6 linked regions of the Rattus norvegicus genome follow. The protein of the gene in region 3 purifies or fractionates together with the protein of the main gene of each other region. This does not show direct contact. Links are inferred from orthologs where the notes say so. Each region holds a gene or a part of one and is shown on either strand. Other genes may lie near its edges.

Region 1 (3,500 bases), on a different chromosome or scaffold from region 3:
ACTTTTCCCTCAAAACCAGATACGAGGGCCAATGAAAGGCTAAAAGATCTGAATTCAGTGCCTAGAACCCATGTAAAGGCACATGTAAAATCCACGATGACTATAAAATTAAAAATAAAAATGAGTCAGACACCATAAAGAAGTATCTGCAGGCAGAAGAGGATTATGAAAATCAGTAAGACATTTTACTCTTTGGGTATTCTTCTCCACCCTGGTCAGATTAGTGGACTGCAGAGAGACACCATACAGACTGTCTGCCTCCCAGGAGGGCCAAAGTAACCAGGGACACAGGTGAGACCAAAATATTCCAAAATAAAGCCAAACTTAAGCAATATCTATCTATCCATCCAGACGTACAGAGGATTCTAGAAAAACTCCAACACAAGGAAGGTACCTACACCAAAGAAAAAAACAAGAAATCATCTCACGACAAATCCCAAAGGAGAGAATCAGACATATCTACCACAAACAACAAGAAACTAACAATCATCTGTCTTTAATTTCTCAGGTATCAACAGACTTCATTCCCCAGTAAAAAGACATAAACTAAACAGACTGGAAATGCAAGCAGGATTCAGCATTTTACTGCATCAAAAAACACACCTCAATGACAAACAGAGTAAAAGGCTGGAAAAAAGTTTTTGAAGCAAACGGTCCCAAGAAACAAGTGGGAGTAGCCATTCTGATATCCAATGATAGACTTTCGACCAAAAGTTATTAAAAAAGAAGGGGAAGGACACTACATACTCATCAAAGGAAAAATCAACCAAGAGAGAGTCTCAATTATGAACATCTATGCCCAAGGGCACTAACATCTCATAAAAGAAACATACTAAAGTTCAAAACACATTGAACCTTTCACAATAAATAGTGAGAGACTTCAACATCCCACCCTCACCAATGGACAGAATGTGGAAAAAGAAACTAAACACTAAACAGACACAGTGAAACTAAGAAAAGTTATGAATCAAATGGATTTAACTGATTATCTATAGAACATTTCATCCTAAAACAAAAGAATATAGCTTCTTCTCAGCACCTCATGGAACCTTCTCCAAAACTAACAGTATAATCAGACACAAAACAAGACTCAATGGATATAAGATTGAAATAATCCCATGCATCCTATCATATCACCACGGACTAAGGCTGAACTTTAGTAACAAGAAAGCAAGAGAAAGGCCACACACTCATGTAAACTGAACAACTCTCTGCTCAATGATAACTTGGTCAGGGAAGAAATAAAGAAATCAAAGACTTTATAGAATTAATGAAAATGAACATACAACATACACAAACTTATGGGACACAAAGATGTCCCTCAAGCGAAGAATAGATACAAAAAAATGTGGTTCATTTACACATTGGAATACTATTCAGCTATCAAAAACAAGGACATTATGAATTTTGCAGACAAATGGATGGAACTAGGAAATATCATCCTGAGAGGTAACACAGACCCAAAAGGACACACATGGTATATACTCAATGATAAGTGGTATGATAATGATAACAGACAAAAAGTACAGAATACCTAGGAATAAAATCCCGCAGACAATAGTAAGTATAACAAGCAGAAATAACCAAATGAGGATGTTTCAATCCGACTTAGAAGAGGAAAGAAAATAATCATGGGAACTAGAGGGAGGGAAGGAAGGAGGGAGGGAGGGAAGGACCAACAGACAGAGGGAGGAAGGGAGGGAGGGAGGGAGGGAAGAACCAACCTGGGTGGTAGAGAGGAGGGGGAGAAGAGGAACAGGATCAGGTATGGGGGGATGGGGACAAGAAAGAAGCCCAGAGGGCCAGGAGAATAGAAATATGCAGCCTTGGGGGTGGGAGGTAGAGGGAAGACCCTCTGGACAGTACTAGAGACCCAGGAGGTGAGAGACCTTCAGGACTCAATGGGGTGACCTTAGCCAAAATTCCCAACAATGAGAAGAGAGAACTTGAAGATTTCACCTCCAGTAGACAGAGAAGCCTTCGAGTGGAAGGACAAGTGGAAGGACGAATTTACTAACCCAAAATCCTCTTCTGGCCTCCCTGATCACTAGGCTTGTACATGAAAGACATACATGCAGGCAACTATACATAAAATATAATATATACATAACATTTTATATACATAAAATATAATAAAATAAATACACTATTTTAAGCAAATTAAAAATCACTTACTTTTATGGATTATCAGCTTCTCCAACTTTCTTTTAGCAGCTGCTCTTTCCACAATTTTCTGGTCAATAGTATTTGCTGTCACGAGGCGATAGACAACAACTGGCTTTGTCTGACCAATTCTATGACATCTATCTTGGGCCTGGAGATCAGACTGAGGATTCTTAAAGTTGAAAAGAAATGTACAGTTAGCAGAATTGTTAAACCTAAAAAAATGTTAAAAAATAATCATGTACACTATCTGGTGAGAAATGGTTCTTAGATTCATTTAAACTTCCAGAATTGTTGTATAAATTCCAACTCTCACGTAACAATTGTAAAGTTTTCTACTTAAATGCTCCCATGGGGGCCACTGAGATGGTTCAGAGGGTAAAGATATCTGCCAGAAAGCCTGACCACTTGAATTTAATCCCCAGAACCCACATGGTAAAGAGAACCAACTCCCCCAGACTGTCCTCTGACCTCTACATGAGACAGACAGACAGACACACACACAGTAACTTAAAGTGGTTTAAATACTCTAAAAATGTCCTAAGTTTTTATCCATAGAAAACTTGATGAATTCCTTCCTGCAAAGAGGCACTTTTCAAAATAGATGAATGAAATTTCAGTAGGTACAAAGTAAACAATAACATTTTCAGAACAGAAATATAGTCAGCATATTGCCGTACTTCTTACCCAATCACTGTCATAAATGATCACTGTATCTGCTGCAGTCAAATTAATGCCTAAGCCACCAGCTCGTGTACTCACTAAGAAAAGAAAAACCTCTGGATCCGTGTTGAAACTGTATATCTAAATGCAAAAGAAACATAAAAACAAAAAAATATAAAAAAAAAAAGAAATTTAAACATGGGTGGGGAGGCATTATTTTTAAATATCACTATTAAAAGTCTTTTCCAACAGAGCTAGGAAACAATTATATTAGCTAATAAACACTCTGTTTACATAAACACTGCTTTTCAAACATTTACATTATGCAAGATATTTTTATTTTGTTAAAGGTACATATCGCATCCAGTATCAAAAAACAGACAAAACTAGTTTAATAGATGGCTCAGTCAGTAAAGTACCTGCCATATAAGCAAAAGACTCTCAGTTCAGATCCCTGGCACCCATGAAGAGACTAAGTGGCGCCCTGCTCACTAATGCAGAGCTGGTGGAAGAGACTGAAATGGCAGAGACAGGCTAATCCCTGGAGATCACTAGCCAGCCAGCCAGCCTAATTAATGAGTTCTAGGTTCAGTAAGACACGCTGTCTCTAAGACATGATGGAGAACAAAGAAAGATGATATTGAATGTCTTCTTTACCTTGGGGTATGCACATA
Region 2 (3,500 bases), on a different chromosome or scaffold from region 3:
TCACCTGACCAAACTCATTCCAGCTGAAGTCTCTGCCACCAAATTAAATGCCTGACCCTTCAGAGTGGGCATCTCTACACATCTGACTGTGTTCTCTGCTCCCACACCCAACCTGGAAAAGTTGAGGCAAGGACAGAACAGCTATGGGGTTGGAGAGATGAGTAAGTGGTTATAAGTTCAAGTTTCCCCAGCTCCGGAAAAAAAAAAAAAAAAAAAAGTTCTACAAGTTCTTGTAGAAGACCCAGGTTTGGTTCCCAGCTCCCACATGCCAGCTCAAAATGAACTATCACTCCAGTTCCAGGGGACCTAACATCCCCTTCTGGTCCCTGCAGGCAGCAGGCATGCATAGAATGTGTATATACCTATATAGGCAAACACTCATACGCAAAGAATTAAAAACAAAATAGAAACAAGACTCCCACTCTGGTGCTAACAGACATTGTCAAAGTACATTCATTGCTCCCTCCTCCCCGAAAATAACCAAAGCAAAGCCCCCAGACCTCTTTCCACTCTCCAAGGGGTTAGAGATGCTAGCAGCATGGCCACTGCAGTTAGCACTGGGAGAAAAGAATGCTGAAGACAAGAGCAGGGCAGCACATACTCCCAAGCCCCTCCCTCAACTACCAAAGAGCATAGGGATCCTAACAGCCAAAAGCAGCCATGTTTCCTCCAGGCATTATGGGAGCTTAGGCATGAACAGGCAGCAAAGGAAGAGGCAAAAGGCTCCATTGCTAACTGCTTGCTTTCCAATTTGATTATCCCACTTTTTTTTTTTAGAATGTCTATAGTGGCTAGAAAGGAGAGGGTGTTCTGGGGCTGGAGAGACGGCTCAGAGCTTAAGGGCACTGACTGCTCTTCCAGAGACCCTGCGTTTAACCACATTGTGGCTCACAACCCTCTGTAATGAGATCTAGTGTCCTCTTCTGGCCTGCAGGTATATATGCAGGCAGATCACTGTTTACATAATAAATAAATCTGAGAGAGAGGGGAGAGGGAGGGAGGGAGGGAGGGAGGGAGGGAGGGAGGGAGGGAGGGAGGGAGGGAGGGAGGTAAAGAAAGTGTTCTCACTAAATTTCTCTAACCTATTAAGTAGGAGGACGGAGAGGCCTGAGAGGAATGAAGGCAGAGAGACCACAGGGGCCGTCTGGGGAAGACCCTTTCTACTTCTGTTCCAGAAAGCTCTGGGAGCGAGGTTCTGGGGTAAGGCTCCAGAGTGTACTGGCTGAGCATTCTGAGCAGGTCAGGTTCCCTATCCTCCAAGGGCTGCCTCATTTGTCATCTTCATACCCTGGATAACTCGGAGGGAAGAATGGAAATAACCTAAACAAAGCCACATAAACCTGCTCTTCCTCTTGGATAAGTCTCCTTAACTCAAAACAGGACTGGAGGTTTGTGCCACAAGGACTGAATTTGTCGCCAGGATAGTGTAGGAAAGATGAAGCGATACCACCCCTTGTTTCTGATAGGTGAAAGGAAGGGCAGAGGGGAGAGGCCGACCTGGGATGGATGGGACGAGGCCCCAGAGAGGGCCGATTAACACTGTACTCCTGGGCAGCCTGGGCCTGCCTTTCACAAACAGTTCACAAGAGGAGCCGGCGGAGCAAGCTGCAGCCGGGGTCATGCACCGAGACTGGTCACCGCTTAAGCAGCCAGCATTTATCCAGAACCCCAGGCATTACCTGCTTAGTCTGCTCTCTGTGAAATACCTCTAGTTGCTCCACCTGTGCAGGGGGAGAAGCAATGGAGACAGTGAGATGCAGCCACTGCCAGACTGACCTCACTCGGGCTCTGAGACTTCCCCCATAGAAGGGAGAGGGGGGACATGGGGGCAGGCCAGCTGGAATCAGGTAACAGGACACAGGGGCCTGTGATCCCAACACGTGGGAGGTGAAGGCAGGAAGATCAAGAGTGCAAGGCCATCTTTACTTATATGGTGAGTTCAAGGTTAGCCTGAGTTACATTAGATCCTGTTTTAAAACACCAAAGAAACAAAAGGGTAGTCAACCTGACTCTTTAGATTCAGCTCTCAAAGAAAAGGGGGCCATAGACATCGTCTGTTGGAGGGTGGGGGGGTGACTGTGGAAGTTCAAACAGGATCTAACTATGCAACCCATAAGCGGCCTCAAACTCATGATCCTCCTCCTGACTTAGCCTCCTACGTGCTGGGACTACAGGCATGCACCACCACTCGCTGTCATAGCATTCTCTTTCCGACAAACGGGATTCTACTGCTTACTTATCTTTCTCTGCTACTCAATGAGTGAAGGCAGGTAGGCAGTGTCCATCTGGGGTGGAGGCAAGGGGAGGGCTACAGAATGCAGAGGACACAGCATGGACACCTTACCTGGGCAGTGAGTTTCTGCCTCTCTTCTTGGAACCTCTGCCTCTCCTCTAGGACCTTCACCTTGGCACTTTCGTACTTGGCGGTCATCACCTCCAGCTCCCGGCTAGTGCTCTGAGCTTCTTGCCGCATTTCAGCCAGGTGGGTCTCGGCATCAGTGCGCACAGCGGCCAGCTCCTGGACATACTTCTCCCGGGCTTGATCGAGCTCTACTTCTAGAAACTGCCGGCCCAGGTTGGCCCGTTCTCCCAGCCCCCGGTTCTCCTCGGCCAGCAGGCCATGGGCCTTCTTCAGCATGCTCAACTGCTCTGCATAGCTGGCCTTTTCTGCCCGCAGCTGCTGGGCTGCTCGCTCCTGCTCAACAATCTTCTGCCGCAAAGATCCTAGCTCTCCAAGCTCCCGTTGAGCCCGCATTAGCTCTGCCTGCAGCCCGCCAGCTGCCTGCTTGCTCTGCTCTATCTCCTCCCGGAAGCGCTTCTCGGCAGCTGCCTGCTCAGCTTGCAGCTGCTGACAAAGGTGCTTGGCAGGCAGCAGCTCACTCACCAGGGCCTGTGTGCTGGTGTGCTCCAGCTGCAGGGCAGAGAGCGCTTGCTCCTTCTGGAAAAACTTCTCCTGCCAGGCCTTCAATTCTTGACCCGATTCCTCAGCTCGCTCCGCTTGTGAGGCCAGCTCCTGCCTCAAGTTCTCAGAAACTACACGCTGCTTCTCTACCTCTTCTCGGAGGCTCTGTACCTCCTCCCGTAGAGCTGAGCTGCGTTCTGCTGCCCTGGCACTGCTGCTGGCTGTTTCTACCTGAAGCAGGCGCAGCCGCTCTTCCAGCTTCTGGCTCTTCTCTGACTCAGCTACAACCAGGCGCTTCAACTCCTTGCTTTCTCCCTCCTTCTCTAGGACTTGGCGATTCAGGATGGATACCTCCTCTTCCAAGCTGCTGATAAGACTGCTCTTTCTCTCAGCTTCCTGCTGGCCACGGGCTACCTGGGCCTTCCACTCTTCCTCAGCTTTGCTGTGGTCCTGGGCTTTGGCACGGAGGGCTTGCAACTCTCTTTGAGCTGAGGCTGAGGCAGCCTGATTATGCCCCAGCTCTCGAGCCTTCTCCTCTAACTGGCCCTGCAGTGTCTCCAGGGCTTTGTCTTGCTCAGCCCGGCAAGCACGCTCGGAC
Region 3 (4,131 bases):
TGTCAAGCCAGGAGAGGAAGAGGAAGAGAGAGAGAGAGAGAGAGAGAGAGAGAGAGAGAGAGAGAGAGAGAGAGAGAGAGAGAGAGAGAGAGAGAGAGAGAGAGAGGAAAGAAGAGTGAGAGACTCCTGTAGCTTTATTCACCACTTATATACCCAAGTCTCCAGGTAGAAAATAACTGGGAAGCACAGTGGGAAACCCTGGCTCGTGACTACGAGACCTGAATTAATTAGGGAGAAATCCGAGAAGACCAGCCTAAATCTCAAGGATAAAGGCTGAGGAAGCAAAAGGCAGAAGTAAATTGACCACCACCCAGGTGTGGTCCAGGTGTGTCAGTTCCACATGCATCAGCCGGGCTCAGCAGAGGTCATGCAGTGGAGACACCGGGTGTTTACTACTTGGTCTTTTCTTCCAGTACATGGGAGAGGCCTCTGTCCAACAATCCCTTGACTTCTTAACTGTGACCATACAGTTACAAAGCGGCCAGGCCCAAATCCAATATGGCTCACTACACTCGAGATCTTGCTTTAAAAAAAAAAAAATACCGCCGCTTTGCAGCATGACCCCTGGAAGAGAGCCATACCCTCATAAATCCCATAAGGACTGGAAGACAAACAACAGAAAAATCAATAGGCAGAGCTTGAAAGAAATGACACAGTTGGTAAGGTGCTTGCATTTGACCTGTGTTTGACCCAGCATCCAAATTAAAAAGCTGGGCTTATAATCCCAGCACAGGCGATGCAAGACAAGTGGAGTTCTGTGGCTCCGTGGCTAAACAAACGAACCTAAACACAAAGTCCCAGGTCCAGGAGACACTCTGTCAAAACCAAGGGAGATGATGCAGCAGGTAAGGGTGCTCGCCACCCAGCCTAGTATCTTTATTTTACTCCCAGAGCCTACATAAGGGCTATTTCTCACTGTTGTCCTCTGATCTTCATATGAGAACAGAGTCACACCCACCCCACTCACCCCGAGTGCACACAAACACAAAGTGGGCCTTTATTTCTGCCCACTTTCTTGCAATATCACTACTAAAAAATCACTCCTGACCACGACTGTATATTTTTAAGTTGTAATAAGGGGGAGCAATTAAGCATGATGGTCCACACCTGTCACCCCAGACTTGGGCGGTGGAGGCAGGTGGATCGGGAATCCAAAGTCATCGTCATCAGCTATACAGGCAGTTCAAGGGGAACCTGTATTATATGAACCCCTGTCACCGAAAGAGGGCAGTTAAAGAAAAAAAAAAAAGTAAGCATTTCGTGTTACTTGGTTTCTAAGTGCTGACCCTCAGTCCACCTGTTTTTAAGTAGAGAAAACCTGCAGATGGCCAGTGATGATAAAGGCCTGGTGTAACAGAGATGGTAGCAAGGAGCAATTCAGTCAGTCTGGGCTACAACAGACCTTTGTGGGCAGTGGCAGAAGAGGACTTCAAAAGCTAAACCACAGATTGGGAATGTAGCTCAGTAGAATGTCTACCTAGAATGCACGAAGACCCTGGATTCTATCCCCAGCATCACGTAAAACCAAGCATGGAGACCCACACCTGTAATCTCAGCTCTAAGCAATCGAACACAGGAGGATCAGAACTTCCAGATTCTCTTCTCTTACTTTGAGAGTTAGAGGCTAGATTGGGATACATATGACTCTATAGCTCGGGGGGGGGGGGGGGGGGGGGCCCTAAAAACCTCAGAATACGGGCATTACCAAATAAGATTTTCTCATGCTGTCTTTCATAAAGTCGGGACTTTTTAAGAAAAGCCTTTTCCTAGCACCATCTTGAGTTGCCATAAATGAAAACAGCTCTCTCCCCAACACACTTACTCTCCACAGAATTCCCTACTCCAAGCTAAGCCGTCCTCAAAACAGGCAAGCGCTCTACAGCTGAACTGCCCCTGCGGCTCAGCAACATCACTTTTTAGGCTGATGAGTTCGTAATATAAAGTTTCACGTCCAGTGAAGAGGCACACCTATGGAGAATCCTAACTACTCAGGAAATAAATGAACAACCACCAACTTAGAGGCAAAAGCAAACAAGCCAACCTGCCTAGACAACACAGCTTCAATATAAAATACAACGGGAAAAGAAGATTTCTGTCTACTTTAGCCTTTTAAGGTTTTCTGGTTGAAAGTGATGTGTTTATACAAAGATAAAGAGAGGATATGTCCCAGGTAAGCGTCGTCCTTGTTTCGTTCATTGAAAACTCTTACTTCTTAAAGATTGTCAATTTCCTGTCTTCACCCATCAAGGACCCGAGGGAAATAATTTAATAATTATATTATTAGCGCCTTCAAAGTCCTATATAATATTTTATTCCCGGATATTTCACTGTGTAGACCGACTAGCTTCAATTTCAGAGATCCACTTGCCTCAGTCTTCCCAGTGCTAGAATTAAAGGAGTGTGTGGTCCCTACGGGATTTTCTCTTTTTTTTTTTTTTTTTTTTTTTGAGGCAGGGTCTTATCCTGTCGCCCGGGTTGGCCTTCAAAACGCGGCAATGCTGTTTCACCCTCCCAAATGTTGGGATTACAAGTGTGACCAATTTATGCGGATCAAACTCTACACTTCGGAGTTTTCAACAATATGCACAAACAACCCTCCGTAATCTGCTCGGTTTCTTCAAAACATAATAAATAAAAGCTTTAATCCGAACCTTCCAGGACCTTACCAAAACCCAAAAAAAGCAACTGTCAGCCAGAAGGATCTTCCAAATCTTGAACGCTTGAAGGCGGGAAAGTTGCCTACGAAGACGCGCAAATTTTAGTCTGGCCCTTTAAGCGGCCCGCTTAGCGTTCCTCCAATTTCCCACAATCCCCTGTTACGTACTTCCGGTTCCTCTACCGCTGCCGGAAGTTGTTTCTGTCAGTCGCGCAGTAGTGTAGGGCAAAGCTTGGTGGGAAGCGGTATTTTGTTTCTTGCTCTTCGTTGTTGAGATTCAATCCGTTTTACAGAATCTCTGCGGCAGCCGTCACCATGTCGGTCCCAAGCGCACTCATGAAGCAGCCGCCCATTCAGTCTACGGCTGGGGCCGTCCCAGTTCGCAATGAGAAAGGTAAGTGTGGCTCCCCTCTGGTCGGATCTTACCTCATTCATCCTCAGTATCTCAGAAACCTGCCTTAGGCCGACCATACCAGCTTGGCTGACCATTAAACCTAACTTTTCTTCCTGCCTTCCACCTAAATTCGCACGTGGCATAGTTAGAGATTGGGGGAAGCGGGATCCACTTGCACATATCTGATCGATTTCGTGAGATCCTCTCTCGAATTAAAAGTTAAGAAGGCTGGAGAGATGGCTCAGCGGTTAAGAGGACATACTCCTCTACCAGAGGACCCAAATTCAATTGCCAACACCCACATCAGGCGACTCAACAACCACCCGTAACCCCAAGTTTTGGGAGATCTGGCCTCTGCCAGTACGTACATTTGTGCACATATCCACAGACAGAATCGTTGCAAATAATAATAAAAATAGGGCTACAGATATGACTCAGCCGTTAAAGGCCAAGCTCACAACCAGAACAGTAACAAAAATGAAAATATAAGAAGAAAGTGAACTAGAGGGGGGTGTGTGTTATAGCCAAAAGCTAACTTTGCTTCGCCCAGTTTGATTAAAAGGGTTTCCTCGGTTTATGAAATAATTTGAATCGTTTGTATAATCTTTCTGTTCACTGGAATTGTTTGTTTTGTTTATTTTTAAGTGTATGAATGTTTTGCTTGCATGGATGGATGTGCACCGTGTGGATGCAATCCCCATAGGGGCCAGAAGAGAGCATGGAATCCTCTGGAACTGGAGTATCAGACTGTTATAGACTGCCATGTAGATGCTGGGAAATTCATCCAGGCCCTCTGCATGAGCAGCAGGTCCTCTTAGCTGCTGAACCACCTCTTGAGTGCCAATTTGTTTGTGTTTTAGAAGAGATCATCTGATTCAGCACAAAGCTAGAGGGAAAGAAGGTAGAAACCGGTCAAGTTAGGTTGTTAAGTTATGTTGTAAAGGCTGCCATAGCATCTCAGAGGGAGAAGCTAGGAAGATAGCTCCCCTTACTGTGCCTGAGTTCATACCCCTAACATCCGTACGTAGAGAACCTTGAGGGGTGAAGAGACGAGGGAGGATCTTTGAGGCTTGATGGTTGA
Region 4 (4,219 bases), on a different chromosome or scaffold from region 3:
TTAGTTATGCCAGGCTGGAAGCCAGTAAACTCCATGGAAACCAATTTAGGAGAGGTAGCATTGAGGATCAAGTAATGAGGGACCTTTCCTTGTAAATAATCGAAACCAACCATTCTTTTGCCTTAAAATATTCACACTTGAAATGTTCAATCATATAAACAGGCAACCTCAACAGCATACAGGAAAAAAAAAATCAGTTAAAAAAAAAACCTATTCTTTAAGATCTTGGTTGTTTTGTTTTTGAGACAGGCGTCTATGTATCCCAGGTTGGCCTCAAACTAGTTACTCAGCTGAGAATATATGACCTTCAAGTCTGATCCTCTTGCCCCTGCCTCTCCAGTGCTGTAATTATAGGTAAAGACCACCCAACCTGCTTAAATGAAGAACTTTGTGTCTCTGAGGTAAGCACTTTACCAACTGACCTACATTTCTAGAGCACCCTTCCACCCTTTAAGGTCTGAAGCAAAATATATACAATTAAGTAATTCACTTTGTTACTTAATAGGAACACATTTTAAAACACAAATGTTAGAATAAAGAACAAAATACTCTGTAGTAAGCATCCCCACCTGGGGAAGCATTTTTAAGAGACTCACTTCAGCGGATGCATCATGTCCTCGCCTCTTCTTCTGCCATTTCGACTTCTACTTTGATTGCCCATGAAGCCAAACAATCCTCCACCAAAAATATGTGAGAAAATATCATCCATGCCGCCACCCCCGCCGCTGCCTTCCCGTAGACCTTGTTCTCCATATCTGTCATATAGCTCCCGCTTCTCTGGATTTGACAATACTTCATAGGCAAAACTTATTTCTTTAAACTATAAAGTAAAAGAAAAAATGAAAACAATTGGATTTTTAAGTGCAAGAATGTGAGAAAGACTTCAAAAAACGAGAAGCCACCTAACTCCAATAAAAAGCTCTGAGTTGGTTTCCTTTTGGTCCTCTTTATTACCTATTGCTAAAAATCTTAGAATTCTCATTGTAAAACTAAAATTGTCCTCTGAAGGTAATTATCATTATTGTATATGCATGAGTGTGGGAGTATGGAGATCAAAAGACAACTTTCTCTCCTTCCACTGTGGATCAAGCTCAGGTGGTCAGGCTTACATGTGGCAAAGACTTGTAACAATTGAGCTATCTCAGTAGATATAATTTTTATTTCTGAAGAAGATTACAAGCATTAGGCTTTACTCTGGTCATTTTCAAGTAAGTTAAAATAACACTGAGAGTTTCACTCTGTAGGCATAAATGAACTTTTCCCTACATCACTCCTTATTTCTTTAAGGGACACATTTCCAACTTCAGTTTAAAACTAAAACCCCGGGGCTGGGGATTTAGCTCAGTGGTAGAGCGCTTACCTAGGAAGCGCAAGGCCCTGGGTTCGGTCCCCAGCTCCGGAAAAAAAAAAAAAAAACTAAAACCCCAACAATAAAACTCCAAATAACTTACTTTATCTCCAGCATTTGGATTCTTATCAGGATGGTATTCTTTGGCTAACTTTCGGTATGCCTTCAAAAAAAGATTTTGGAAGAGAGTTATACACAGCGAACAATTTAAGAAATTCACTTTTCTGAGAAGCAATGTTCTAAAGTTATGGCCTTCCAAAACTGTCACTCACTATTTGACGTTTTCCACTTCAGTACTGCTTCCTTGCTAATAATGTAACCCAAGTTACTGAGGAAAAATACAAACAAAACAAAACAAAGAAAAAGAGACTGAAACATTATTTCTTGTTTTTTTTTTTAAAAATATTATCAAATATCTTTGATGACCAGTAACCAGACCAAAAAGACCACAATAAACAGATTGTAGATTGAGCGCTACATTTTACAGAAACCCTAGCACTCCTACAAATTAAGCAAATGATACTTCTACTAAGTATCTCTCCCCATGCTGGCTGGCTCCTCGGCCTGCCCTCCAACAGGAAAACAGCAGGCGGTCCTAAGTGATGTTTTATTAGCACTTGGCCGGCTAACTGGGGTCCTACCTGGTGGTGAAGCTACATACTCTCAATTAAGTGATGTAGGTAAGCACCATGTAAGTCTTTACACAGACTCATGAATTATATAACACAGCCTACCATTTCCGGTAGGGCAACAGGAAGTCTTTTTCTTTGGACTTCACCAGTCCCAATACTTACGGGACATTCTTATTTTTCTCAGTTTACAGATTTGATGCCGACAGCCATAGTAGATGCGGACTTTACTAATAGCTTAAGTCCCGAGATGATTTTGTACAAAGGACAACAATGAGACCTGTCTTATTTTTAGTGAGTGCACACGCAGGTGTTTGGCTGGGACACACGACGACTTATCCCTGAAGCGGCCACGGGGTATTTAGAGCTCCAGCCCAAGAACAATGCTTCTAAACAGACCCAAGCTATTCCGGCTGCCCGGCGAGGAAGGCAGAGGGAGGAGCCTGTTCAGCGCCGGAGGCTGCGGCCCTCAGCCCCACACCGGCGCCGGCGGTCAGCTCCTCCCCGGCCCGGCGGCGCGAGCACCGCGGTTCGACCTGTTTTTCCGGGTGGCCCGGGGCGCCGAGGTGGCGGGCCGCTTCTGCGCAGGGCCGGCGGGCGGAGGCCCAAGGTCAGCCAGAGCCGACTGCGCCCCCGCCGCCACCGCGCCTCAGCCCGGTTCAGGCCGCCCCGACCGCGCAGGCCCCGCGCCCTCGCCCCGCCCGCCGGCCGGCTCGCTCCAGTACCTTCTTCAGCTCGTTCTCGCTGGCGCCGGGAGGGACGCCCAGGATGTCGTACAGCTTCGTGTCGGCCACGTTCGCCATGGCGGCCTGCCCGGCAGCACTCGCAAGCAGGCGGCGGAGCGGAAGGAGCGCGACCCGGACCACGAGCGGCGGCAGCGCAGGCCGAGGAGACGGCGCGGGGAGGCGGGCGGGGCTGAACTTTGACCCGGCGCAGCGCCATGACGTTGCCACAAGGCCCCTCCCCCGGGGCCGGACGGGGCGGGGCGGTTGGGCGGTGGGCGACGGTGTGCGGCAGGTGGGGTCCTTTCCTGACGCCCGTAGGCGACGCGCGAGCGACCGCGGAGTGGAGGGAAGCGGATGACGGCGTTCGTAAGGAACTCTCGCTGCGGCTGAGGCCTAGGGGAAAGAAGCCGGCGTGGAATCCTCCTAGGGTGGTACCCCCGGGGCCGCGGTGAAAAGCAGCACGTGGGTGTGAGTGTGTGAGGTTCCCACATAGCGAATTACACCCCTAATGTGATTTTATCAACACCTTCACTAATTCATATCATCTCCTAACTTCCCCCTCAGCACCTCTGCGTAGGGAAAACAATTTCATTCATAAATACTCAGATTTACACCTAGCAGAAGAGGTTTTAAAGGCATAGCCATCCTGTCACATTGAAGGAGAGGACAAAATCTTTTTACACATTCCCGGTTGGTTTGGGGGCATCCAGATAAACCAAAGTCACCCTGTTCCGCCGGGATCATGTGTTCAAGTGTCTCACTTGACAGCTTTAAAATTAGCTAACGCCGAAGGTTTGGTTGGCATAAGGCAGTATGGCTGCGGGCCGGCACTTGGTGGCTGTCAGTCGATTTCGTTTGCTTTAGCTCAAAAGATTTCCGTGCTTCTACCACGTGCCAATATGCACAGCTTGCCTTCTAACTGGTTTTCTGATAGTAAAACACTTCTAGTCAGTTGAAACCTGAACTGGGAAACAATTTCTCATTGACCATAAGTCTGTCAATGGAGGTGGTATGCCTTTCTTGTCATTCTTCCTGGCCAAGTTGTGGAGGTCCTTCCCTGCCATGTTAAGGGCTAAGGAAATTTAACCTGAGAGCTCTGAGGAGTCTTAAGAGAAGTTAGATGCTCCTTCTACCATTCAAAATGCCCCTTCACCTGTAACGTTCTCCTTGATTCATAACCTAGTAAACCTTCCTGTCTTATTTGAGGCCCCACTATGCTCGTTTTCCTGATAAGTATGATTTATGACATGAATGCTGTTCTCACATGTGAGTCAAAATTCTTTAATAGGATACAGATTATGTATCTGGTATCAAGAACTTATTAGAAGGTCCTAGCAGGGGAACCACAGCTATTCTATACCCTTGGCCAAAGATTAGCCTCTCTCTATTGGGGAAGCTCATCCTTTTTGACCAAATATCCAGTTTCAGGAAGAGACATACATGGAGCAATGAAGAGGAGAGGGAACTTTCACCTACACACCCAGATCAGCCAAAACAACCCTGGTAACAGATGCTCA
Region 5 (3,500 bases), on a different chromosome or scaffold from region 3:
AAGACTGACTTTAAAACCCATGGTCAAATGTGGACCTCAGCCACCCCAACTGCCACCAAAGGCCCCTCACGCACACTGGGTGGCAATAGCCTCCATGGAAATCGAAGCCAGTGATGGCCTGCACGCAGTCGATGCCCAGCTTGCGGGCCACGCGGTGCAGGTTGGGTAGGTTCATCTGGACACAGCCGATAGGCATCATGCTGGGCAGGAAGAGGTACACGTTCCCAAACTCATTCCGGGGCACCTGCAGAGACAGACGGGCGTGCCAGAGAGTAGCTGGCAGGTAGACTGGGCAGCCTATACTGATCCCCACCCCACCCCACCCCCAGAGCTGCCCTTACCTTCCCGTCTACAGCCACAGGAGGTTGATACTCTTCTGTCTGCCAGTGACCAAAGAGGCCCAAGTCATTGTGGTCATGCAGCTGGGGCTCCGAAAGCCGGGCTTTCCGGGCACGGTTAGAGAAACCTTTCACCATCTACTCCAGAGGAAACAGGGCGGGTTATAAGAAATGCTTCTTGCTCCAGGACTCAGCTTGCACCAGGCACTGAGTGCTGTCAATCTGACACAGGTGGGCCTTCCCTAGCCAGCTCACACAGGGTAGGTATTATATGGTTCTCACTCTCTTTTAGTGAGGGAGGTGAAACAGAATTTTGCTCTGTAGCCCAGGCTGATCTCTAACTCCTGATCCTCCTGCCTCAGCCTGAGTCTGAGATCACGGTGTGCCATCGTGCCTGACCTCCATCTCCATGCTTTAGATAACCACTAATCTCAATGAGCCCAAGAGGAGCAGCCCACGTGATATTCTGTGCCCAAAGTCACAGCTCACGAAGGTTTTTTTTTTTTCTTTTTCTTTTTTTCTTTTTTTTTTTTCGGAGCTGGGGACGGAACCCAGGGTCTTGTGCTTGCTAGGCAAGCGCTCTACCACTGAGCCAAATCCCCAACCCCTTTTTTTCCTTTTTCTTTTTTTCAGAGCTGGGGACCGAACCCAGGGCCTTGTGCTTGCTAGGCAAGCGCTCTACCATTGAGCCAAATCCCCAACCCCTTTTTTTCCTTTTTCTTTTTTTTCGGAGCTGGGGACCGAACCCAGGGCCTTGAGCTTGCTAAGCAAGCACTCTACCACTGAGCTAAATCCCCAACCCCTCACGAAGGCTTTTAAGTTCTGTCCTAAGTTCCTACACCCATTACCATGAGACAGAGATGGCATGACTTACTTAAGGCACCATGGTTTATAGGTGAGAAGAGCCAGGCTTTAATCCTGGTAACCCCCATCTCTCTGTAGAGTGATCAATCACTATCCACCAGTGTCACCCGTGGAAAGCAGTGCACAGCAGTTAAGACCTACATGTTTTCCTGGGAAGCTAAGGGGTGGAAGGAGAGGAGTGGCAAACAGAGGTTGCATAACACAGACGGGCAGCACAAGAAACTGCTAAGGAATGGCGCCTGGACCTGGGCACACAGGCTGCTCTGGTGCAGGGGTCAGGTCAACAAAAGCTGCTGGTAAAGAGCTTACTACATGTGGCCTCTCCCACCCTTTTCACTCTTTTCCTTTTAAAAGCGTTTGGAAAATCACTATTTAGATGAGGAACCCACCGAAGGGACTCAGGCTTGGTATGGCCCAAGCTGATGGCTAATCTTCTAGCATAACCTCTCAGCTAGCCTGTGGATTCAGCTGGCTTCCGTGTCTGACAGTCTCCTAAAGCTGTTTGCTCTGGTTAGGTTTTTATTGTAACTTGACACAACCTAGAGTCGCCTAAGAAGAGAGAGCCTCAACTTTAGAATTACCTTGATCAGATAACCTTGCCTGCGGCCATCTGAAAAAGACTGATGTGAGAGGGCCCAGTCTACTGTTGGGGCCCCGCACCCAGGCAGGGTTGTAAGCGAGCCCGGCAAGCCAGCGAGCATACTTCCTCCTTAGTTACTGCCTTGAATTCCCTTGATGATGGACTATGACCTGGAAGTGTAGGCCAAAGCCCTTTCCTGCTCCGACTTGCTTTTGGTAACGGTGGCTACCACAGCACCAGAAAGCACACTAGGCCACAGTCCATCCATGTGTTCAATGAAGTCACTGAGCACCTCTTCCATGCCAGGACAGTAATCATGGGGAAGAGGCAGTGCCTGTGGACAGAGCTCAGGCTGTAGGGAGAGGTAAGGAATGCAGGGAAGAATGGGAGCAGGCCACAAAGAAGCCAAGACATCAGTGGGACAGGGAAATGCTGACCAGAACACAGCTGCAGAGAAGGGCATCTAGGGCCAGGACAGGGAGAACAGCTGCATCTGGGGTGGTCTAGAAAGGAGGAGGCAGGTACTACAGCATTAACCATGATCACGTGAGGCCACTACCTGAAGTAATAGGTGGCTAGAGCCAGATCACCACAGAGGCCAGTGTGTTCCAGAAAGAGCCACAGAACTAATACAGAGAATGCATTTGATCTAGGAAGGAGGCTGTGACTGTTACTCAAGGAAGAGACACTGAGGCAGGAGGCAGGAGGCTGGAGGTCAGAACAAAGGAGAAATCTGGAGTCGTTCAGGAAGTGAGTGTTACATGAGCAATCATGGATCTAGTCTGAACTGAGATACTGAAAGTCAAACACAGAATTACAAATAGGAGCTACATAAAATTTAGTTTATTGATTTATTAAGAATTTTATTATAACTTTAATAAGTTTAAAAATAATTTTGTATAATAAATTATGTATTTATTAATAATTTTACTAATTCACGAAATGGATACTAAAAATGTTAAATGTGCGACTCAACTATAATCCCTGGACAACACTGGTCTGAGATTGAGCAGGTCTAGGCAGATCCCAGCAGGCAGCTCCATACACTTAAGCCACTGCTGGCAGCCACTACTACTGAGACCTGCCACCCCTTCCCACTAGCTAAGGGCCCACCACAGCTCCAGTTACAGCCCCACTGGGCTCCGCCTCCATCTGACAACAGAGCAGTACGTGTATGTAAGGGCCACTGTGCTCTGCCTGTGTGACTGAGCCAATGCCCAGAGAAACGTCTGGAACATCTTGCTGAGTTCATGGCTCTCACAGGCAGCTAACCTAAAGATGTCAAAGTCAGAGGCAAGAGCTGAGATGAGGGCCTGTGAGTCCTACTGAGCCTAGGATGTTACTAACTGCAAAGCCTCCTGGCAAGACATATCCTGTTCAAACTCTAATCTTCTCATCTGTAAGGCTGACATTATGGTAGTGATTCCCAGGGTCACCGAAACACAGCAGCTAATGCTTGGTGAACTGGTGTGCAGGGCAACCAGGCTAGTAGGTTTCTTATGAAGCAGGGCTTGAACCTCAGAATAACCCAGCAACCCAGCTCTAACCTGCTGGCCTTTGAGCTTATAGCATGAGTCTTCAGGCTACTTTCAGGCCTATAGTTCTTATTTGGAAAACTTATTTCCTATACATGCCTTATTAATAAAAAATTTAAATGCTTAGCTCCTCAAACCCTGCTGGAGGCAAAGAACAGGTTATTTCTTCTATCTGGGCATGCA
Region 6 (4,095 bases), on a different chromosome or scaffold from region 3:
TGCCTCGTTTATTAAAGACTGGGAACTGGAAAGAAGGCCCCGAAGTGATCTTAGCAGCCAGTTACAACTTACCTACCTTACATGCTAATTTTTTTCTCCATGCTCACTTTTAAGCAACTGTGTCACATATGTTTAATTGTAGGCCACGCTCTTGAACTCTTAAATGGTTTTTCAGATAGCCCTTGAGGGAGTACATTCCTGTGCCCCTACCTGACCAGCTCTTTGAGACTGCAAGCAAAGAACTTGTGACCTCCCTCTCCCTTTCCTTCTCCCTCTGCAAAGAGAAACAGGCTAGACACGCTCACGTGACGCTAATGACGTCAGCCCCATTCTGGGTCGCGTGACCCGCAGCCAACCTTCCTAACGCCCCACCCCCTTGCCACCAACAGTGGGACATCTCGCGAGAGCCCTTCTTACTATCAGAACTTGCTGAGGTTACAGGGGAGTTACTCTGGAGAGGAAGGAAGGTGTGGCAGCGTGGTGCACTTCTTGCTTTCATTATGTTAGGCTTTATGGCCAAGCAAATGCTTTTGGGGATCGCCCTAGTTGGGAAAACAACGGGAGAGGAGGGCGAAGAGGTGAAAGTAAAAACTGAATCGAAACGTGGTGCCCTGACCATCCTTGCTCCTAGCTAAGGGACGGCCAGGCGAAGCAGAGGTGGCCAGGGCTGGCAGCCCCCGGTAGTCACTGTGAGCCGGGAGACGTAGGGCTGGGGTCTGGGAGCAGTAAACACGAACCGCGCCCAGATGCAAGGGTTGCATCCCGCTCTCGGTTTCCCCGGCATCACGGCCATCACTGCCGGGGTAGAGACATCCCGGGTGTGGGAGCTGCGAGTTGTCCCTCATCTTTCCGTCCCTTCGTGGGTCACTGCGACATCTCTGTCCCGTCCCCTTAAGCGCGCTCCCCGGGGCTCTGCACATCTCCTCCCTCCGGTCTCCTTAGACGGCTGCGGGAGAGCAGCCCGGAGGGACGCGGCTGGAGTCGCTAGAGGGAGGTGTGGGGCTGGCGAGGAGGGGGCTTCGCTGGGCGGGGAGAGGCGGGAGGAGGCGCCGGGGAGGAGCCGCGGCTGCCAGATTCGCCTGAGCCGAGTGAGCGCACTCTGTCGCCCGCAGGTTCCCAGCCTTGCGGCCCCGTGGGGAGAGAGCGCAGGCCACCAGCGCCGCCTCCGCCCGCAGGAGCGACCCCTTGGGTGTTCACTCTTGGCCACTGCCGCCCGCCACCCCGGGCGCTACGTTGAGCTCTCCGTGCGGCCTCGGTGACCGCGGCAGCCCCTCCTGACACCTCCCCCCCGCCCCTTCGGGAGCGCTCGCCCGGCGGGAGGAGGAGGAAGAAGGATCGCGGCTCGGGCTGGTCTGGCCACCTCGCCCCGCGCGCCCCGCCCCTGCGCGCACTCCCTCGCCGGCGAGCTACTTTCGGACAAGGAAAGTGAGGGCGGCCCCGGGTGACAGCGCGGCGGTGCCAGTCCCGGGAAGCCGCGTCTGTTCGCGTGTCGCCCGTCGCACTGTCCAGACCCCGCCATGGCTTCGACCACCACCTGCACCCGGTTCACCGACGAGTATCAGCTCTTCGAGGAGCTCGGAAAGTAAGCGTCCCTGCCTGGCACCTCCTCCCCGCGACCCCTCGTCTCCCCCGTGGGGACAGGGAGCCCGCGGGCCGAGGCGGGGTGACGGACCATGGCTTGGTGCGGGTGGGGCACAGTGGGGAGAAACCTTTGCCCTAGTGTGGCGGGTGCCCCGAATCCCCAGCTCATCTCCTCGGGTCCTCCACCTCTCCACTGGAGACTTAGTGAATTTACGATCTCTGCAGTTGTAGCTGTCATCCTGAGAAGTGTGCGCGCACGCGAGTGTGAATGTGTGTGTGTGTTCGGGGAGGAAAGGAGATTGCATGTAAAATGCAACATTTATCACCTTTTCTGTAGATGTCTTTTGCTCAGCCCGCGGTGTATCTGCGGTCTGATACAGGTTAGGATGAGCTAATGAGCATTAGTTCTCAGAGATGGTGCCTTGTTTATCGATGCCGAAAGTTCAACTTGGTTTGGTGGAGAGTCTGGTTCGGCATCCAAAGTAGTTGTTCCGTCCAGGAAAAGGCCACCCAACAGAACCCACGTCCCTGCCCTGTATCCGCTATCCTTCTTTGCACTAAGGTGACTCGCTCACCATCATTCTAGGATTTACGTGTACCTCGGTTCTGAGAGGATTTATTTATCTAGGCAGAGAGAAAAGCCCTGGAGCCCGAGAGAGCGCTTCCCCAGGGTAGCCTAGCCTTTGAAAAAGGACCTCCTCCACCGAAGTGCCAGAAGTACTTTGAGATGTTAAAGAGGGACTGGGTACCTACTGAAGATCGTACAGGGACAACCAGAGACCCAGTCGGGAGTGTTGGTAACAAGCATCAAATCCCAAACCAGTCCTTCTATCGCTAATTTCCACTATCAGGGAAAGGATGCATTTGTGTGTGTGTGTGTGTGTGTGTGTGTGTGTGTGTGTGTGTGTGTGTGTTGTAGGTTTTTAGTACAGTTGCATACAAGGAAGTGTGAGCATTTTTTAAATCAAACGAAAATGATATCTTTATAGATGATCAGCTGTTGAAACATGCAGACATGTCGGGAGAGCAGCTTAATTCAAATCTCTCCCCTCCCCCAGCCCAAACCAGGCAGAGAGAAATCACCTTAGCCCAGGACCTGTTAAAGCACACCAGTGAGCTCGAGATTTATGTTTTAATGAAAACAATCGCCATATTTACTTCACTTGGAACCACGTTAATTGTGTTTTCTACCGAAATAAACATGCAGCAGTTTTTTTTTTCTTCTGTTCCCGGTCTCTGCTTTTTGCAGGGTTTGCCATGAGCATTTGGTGTTTTATGAGTGTGAATTATAAATTGTTTTCAAATTTCATGTGCAAACAAGAGTGGTTATAATTGGCATGTCCTTCTATTTTGTTGATTAATAATCTGTTTGTTTCCAGTCAATTAAAAATTACTTTTATTCCACAACATTAGAAAGGATCTGGTTCGGCAGGGAAGATTCGTTCATTTCCTAGATGATGCTTTTTTATTATATTGATACTTGACAGATCGCTAAAGACTCATCAAACTGCTCAGATTTGTGAGTTTGCAAGTGGATACTGGATCTGATTATACTGATGATTGCTAATTACTGCTTTCCAGGGGGGCATTCTCAGTGGTGAGAAGATGCATGAAAATCCCTACTGGACAAGAGTATGCTGCCAAAATTATCAACACCAAAAAGCTTTCTGCTAGGGGTGGGTATTTTAAACCGCACTTATTTATATATGTTAATTTCGTATTTGCTGTGTGAGTCGTTGGTGTCTTTCTTTAACTATAGCATGGAATTATAATTGAATTTTAGACTTAGGCATCATATTACATGCTCATCTTTGCCAAAGGCCTCGTGGTCTGTTTACTTTGTGAGTTAAGTGAAAGATATAATTGTTATCAATGAGTTATCGAAATGCAGTAATATAATAAATGTGTTGCAAAGCAAATAAATGTCATGAGGGGCCTTGCTGAGATCCTTTCAGAAGGATCTTAGGTTGAAAAAAAAAAAGGCAAGTCTCCTAACTGTCATAATTGCCTTTCACTTTTGAGACAAAAAAAAAAAAATGGGTCATGGTTCAGTTGAATGTATATCACAGGTGTAGTTACAGCTGAACGTAATACATCGAGGTATATTTAACTTCAGTGGCCTTGGGAAGTGGGGAGAGATGGTTGTTGTAATCTAGGAAGTTACCTTGGTTTTGCTATGTGTACGCTAGGCCTTTTCTTGGTCTCCTGAATTCAACTTCCCACCAGATCATGCACTCTATTGTAAACCTTCAGCTTACAGCCACACAGATACTTCATCCTGAAGGCTGTTGACATAAGTTACAACAACAACACGGAGCCCACATTATGTGCCCACATTATGATGACTGCGATTATGATTATTTTGTCTAGAATCAAACAAAATAACATATGCCGAGATTCTGGCATTGCACTGACTGAGGTGTCTACGGCATTTCCGAGGGAATTTATGGTTTGATGGAATTAAACTGGAATCAAAAGAAACAGAATACCATAGTGCAGACCCATCTCAGTGAC

Evidence for each region.
Region 1: the proteins of Wdr76 (region 3) and Hells purify together in Homo sapiens (affinity purification with mass spectrometry; 4 studies listed by BioGRID and IntAct, counting the BioPlex papers as one, with this or other methods). This does not show direct contact. The link is inferred for Rattus norvegicus from reciprocal best matches to the Homo sapiens genes WDR76 and HELLS.
Region 2: the proteins of Wdr76 (region 3) and Numa1 purify together in Homo sapiens (affinity purification with mass spectrometry; 3 studies listed by BioGRID and IntAct, with this or other methods). This does not show direct contact. The link is inferred for Rattus norvegicus from reciprocal best matches to the Homo sapiens genes WDR76 and NUMA1.
Region 4: the proteins of Wdr76 (region 3) and Dnaja2 purify together in Homo sapiens (affinity purification with mass spectrometry; 3 studies listed by BioGRID and IntAct, with this or other methods). This does not show direct contact. The link is inferred for Rattus norvegicus from reciprocal best matches to the Homo sapiens genes WDR76 and DNAJA2.
Region 5: the proteins of Wdr76 (region 3) and Xpc purify together in Homo sapiens (affinity purification with mass spectrometry; 3 studies listed by BioGRID and IntAct, with this or other methods). This does not show direct contact. The link is inferred for Rattus norvegicus from reciprocal best matches to the Homo sapiens genes WDR76 and XPC.
Region 6: the proteins of Wdr76 (region 3) and Camk2d purify together in Homo sapiens (affinity purification with mass spectrometry; 3 studies listed by BioGRID and IntAct, counting the BioPlex papers as one, with this or other methods). This does not show direct contact. The link is inferred for Rattus norvegicus from reciprocal best matches to the Homo sapiens genes WDR76 and CAMK2D.

What each region holds. Positions count from the first base shown.
Region 1 is NC_086019.1:246,148,629-246,152,128, reverse strand, and holds part of Hells (lymphoid-specific helicase), read right to left. Parts: intron 2,968-3,500; coding exon 2,851-2,967; intron 2,336-2,850; coding exon 2,176-2,335; intron 1-2,175. UniProt on the Homo sapiens protein: Plays an essential role in normal development and survival. Involved in regulation of the expansion or survival of lymphoid cells. Required for de novo or maintenance DNA methylation. May control silencing of the imprinted CDKN1C gene through DNA methylation.
Region 2 is NC_086019.1:165,769,252-165,772,751, reverse strand, and holds part of Numa1 (nuclear mitotic apparatus protein 1), read right to left. Parts: coding exon 2,345-3,500; intron 1,722-2,344; coding exon of another isoform or gene 1,680-1,721; intron 1-1,679. UniProt on the Homo sapiens protein: Microtubule (MT)-binding protein that plays a role in the formation and maintenance of the spindle poles and the alignement and the segregation of chromosomes during mitotic cell division.
Region 3 is NC_086021.1:128,909,182-128,913,312, reverse strand, and holds the start of Wdr76 (WD repeat-containing protein 76), read right to left. Parts: upstream 2,801-4,131; 5' UTR 1-2,800. UniProt on the Homo sapiens protein: Specifically binds 5-hydroxymethylcytosine (5hmC), suggesting that it acts as a specific reader of 5hmC.
Region 4 is NC_086037.1:37,669,600-37,673,818, reverse strand, and holds the start of Dnaja2 (dnaJ homolog subfamily A member 2), read right to left. Parts: upstream 2,801-4,219; 5' UTR 2,781-2,800; coding exon 2,703-2,780; intron 1,512-2,702; coding exon 1,452-1,511; intron 821-1,451; coding exon 597-820; intron 1-596. UniProt on the Homo sapiens protein: Co-chaperone of Hsc70. Stimulates ATP hydrolysis and the folding of unfolded proteins mediated by HSPA1A/B (in vitro).
Region 5 is NC_086022.1:125,554,085-125,557,584, forward strand, and holds part of Xpc (DNA repair protein complementing XP-C cells), read right to left. Parts: intron 477-3,500; coding exon 342-476; intron 245-341; coding exon 75-244; intron 1-74. UniProt on the Homo sapiens protein: Involved in global genome nucleotide excision repair (GG-NER) by acting as damage sensing and DNA-binding factor component of the XPC complex. Has only a low DNA repair activity by itself which is stimulated by RAD23B and RAD23A.
Region 6 is NC_086020.1:217,697,256-217,701,350, forward strand, and holds the start of Camk2d (calcium/calmodulin-dependent protein kinase type II subunit delta), read left to right. Parts: upstream 1-1,295; 5' UTR 1,296-1,517; coding exon 1,518-1,582; intron 1,583-3,162; coding exon 3,163-3,257; intron 3,258-4,095. UniProt on the Homo sapiens protein: Calcium/calmodulin-dependent protein kinase involved in the regulation of Ca(2+) homeostatis and excitation-contraction coupling (ECC) in heart by targeting ion channels, transporters and accessory proteins involved in Ca(2+) influx into the myocyte, Ca(2+) release from the sarcoplasmic reticulum (SR), SR Ca(2+) uptake and Na(+) and K(+) channel transport.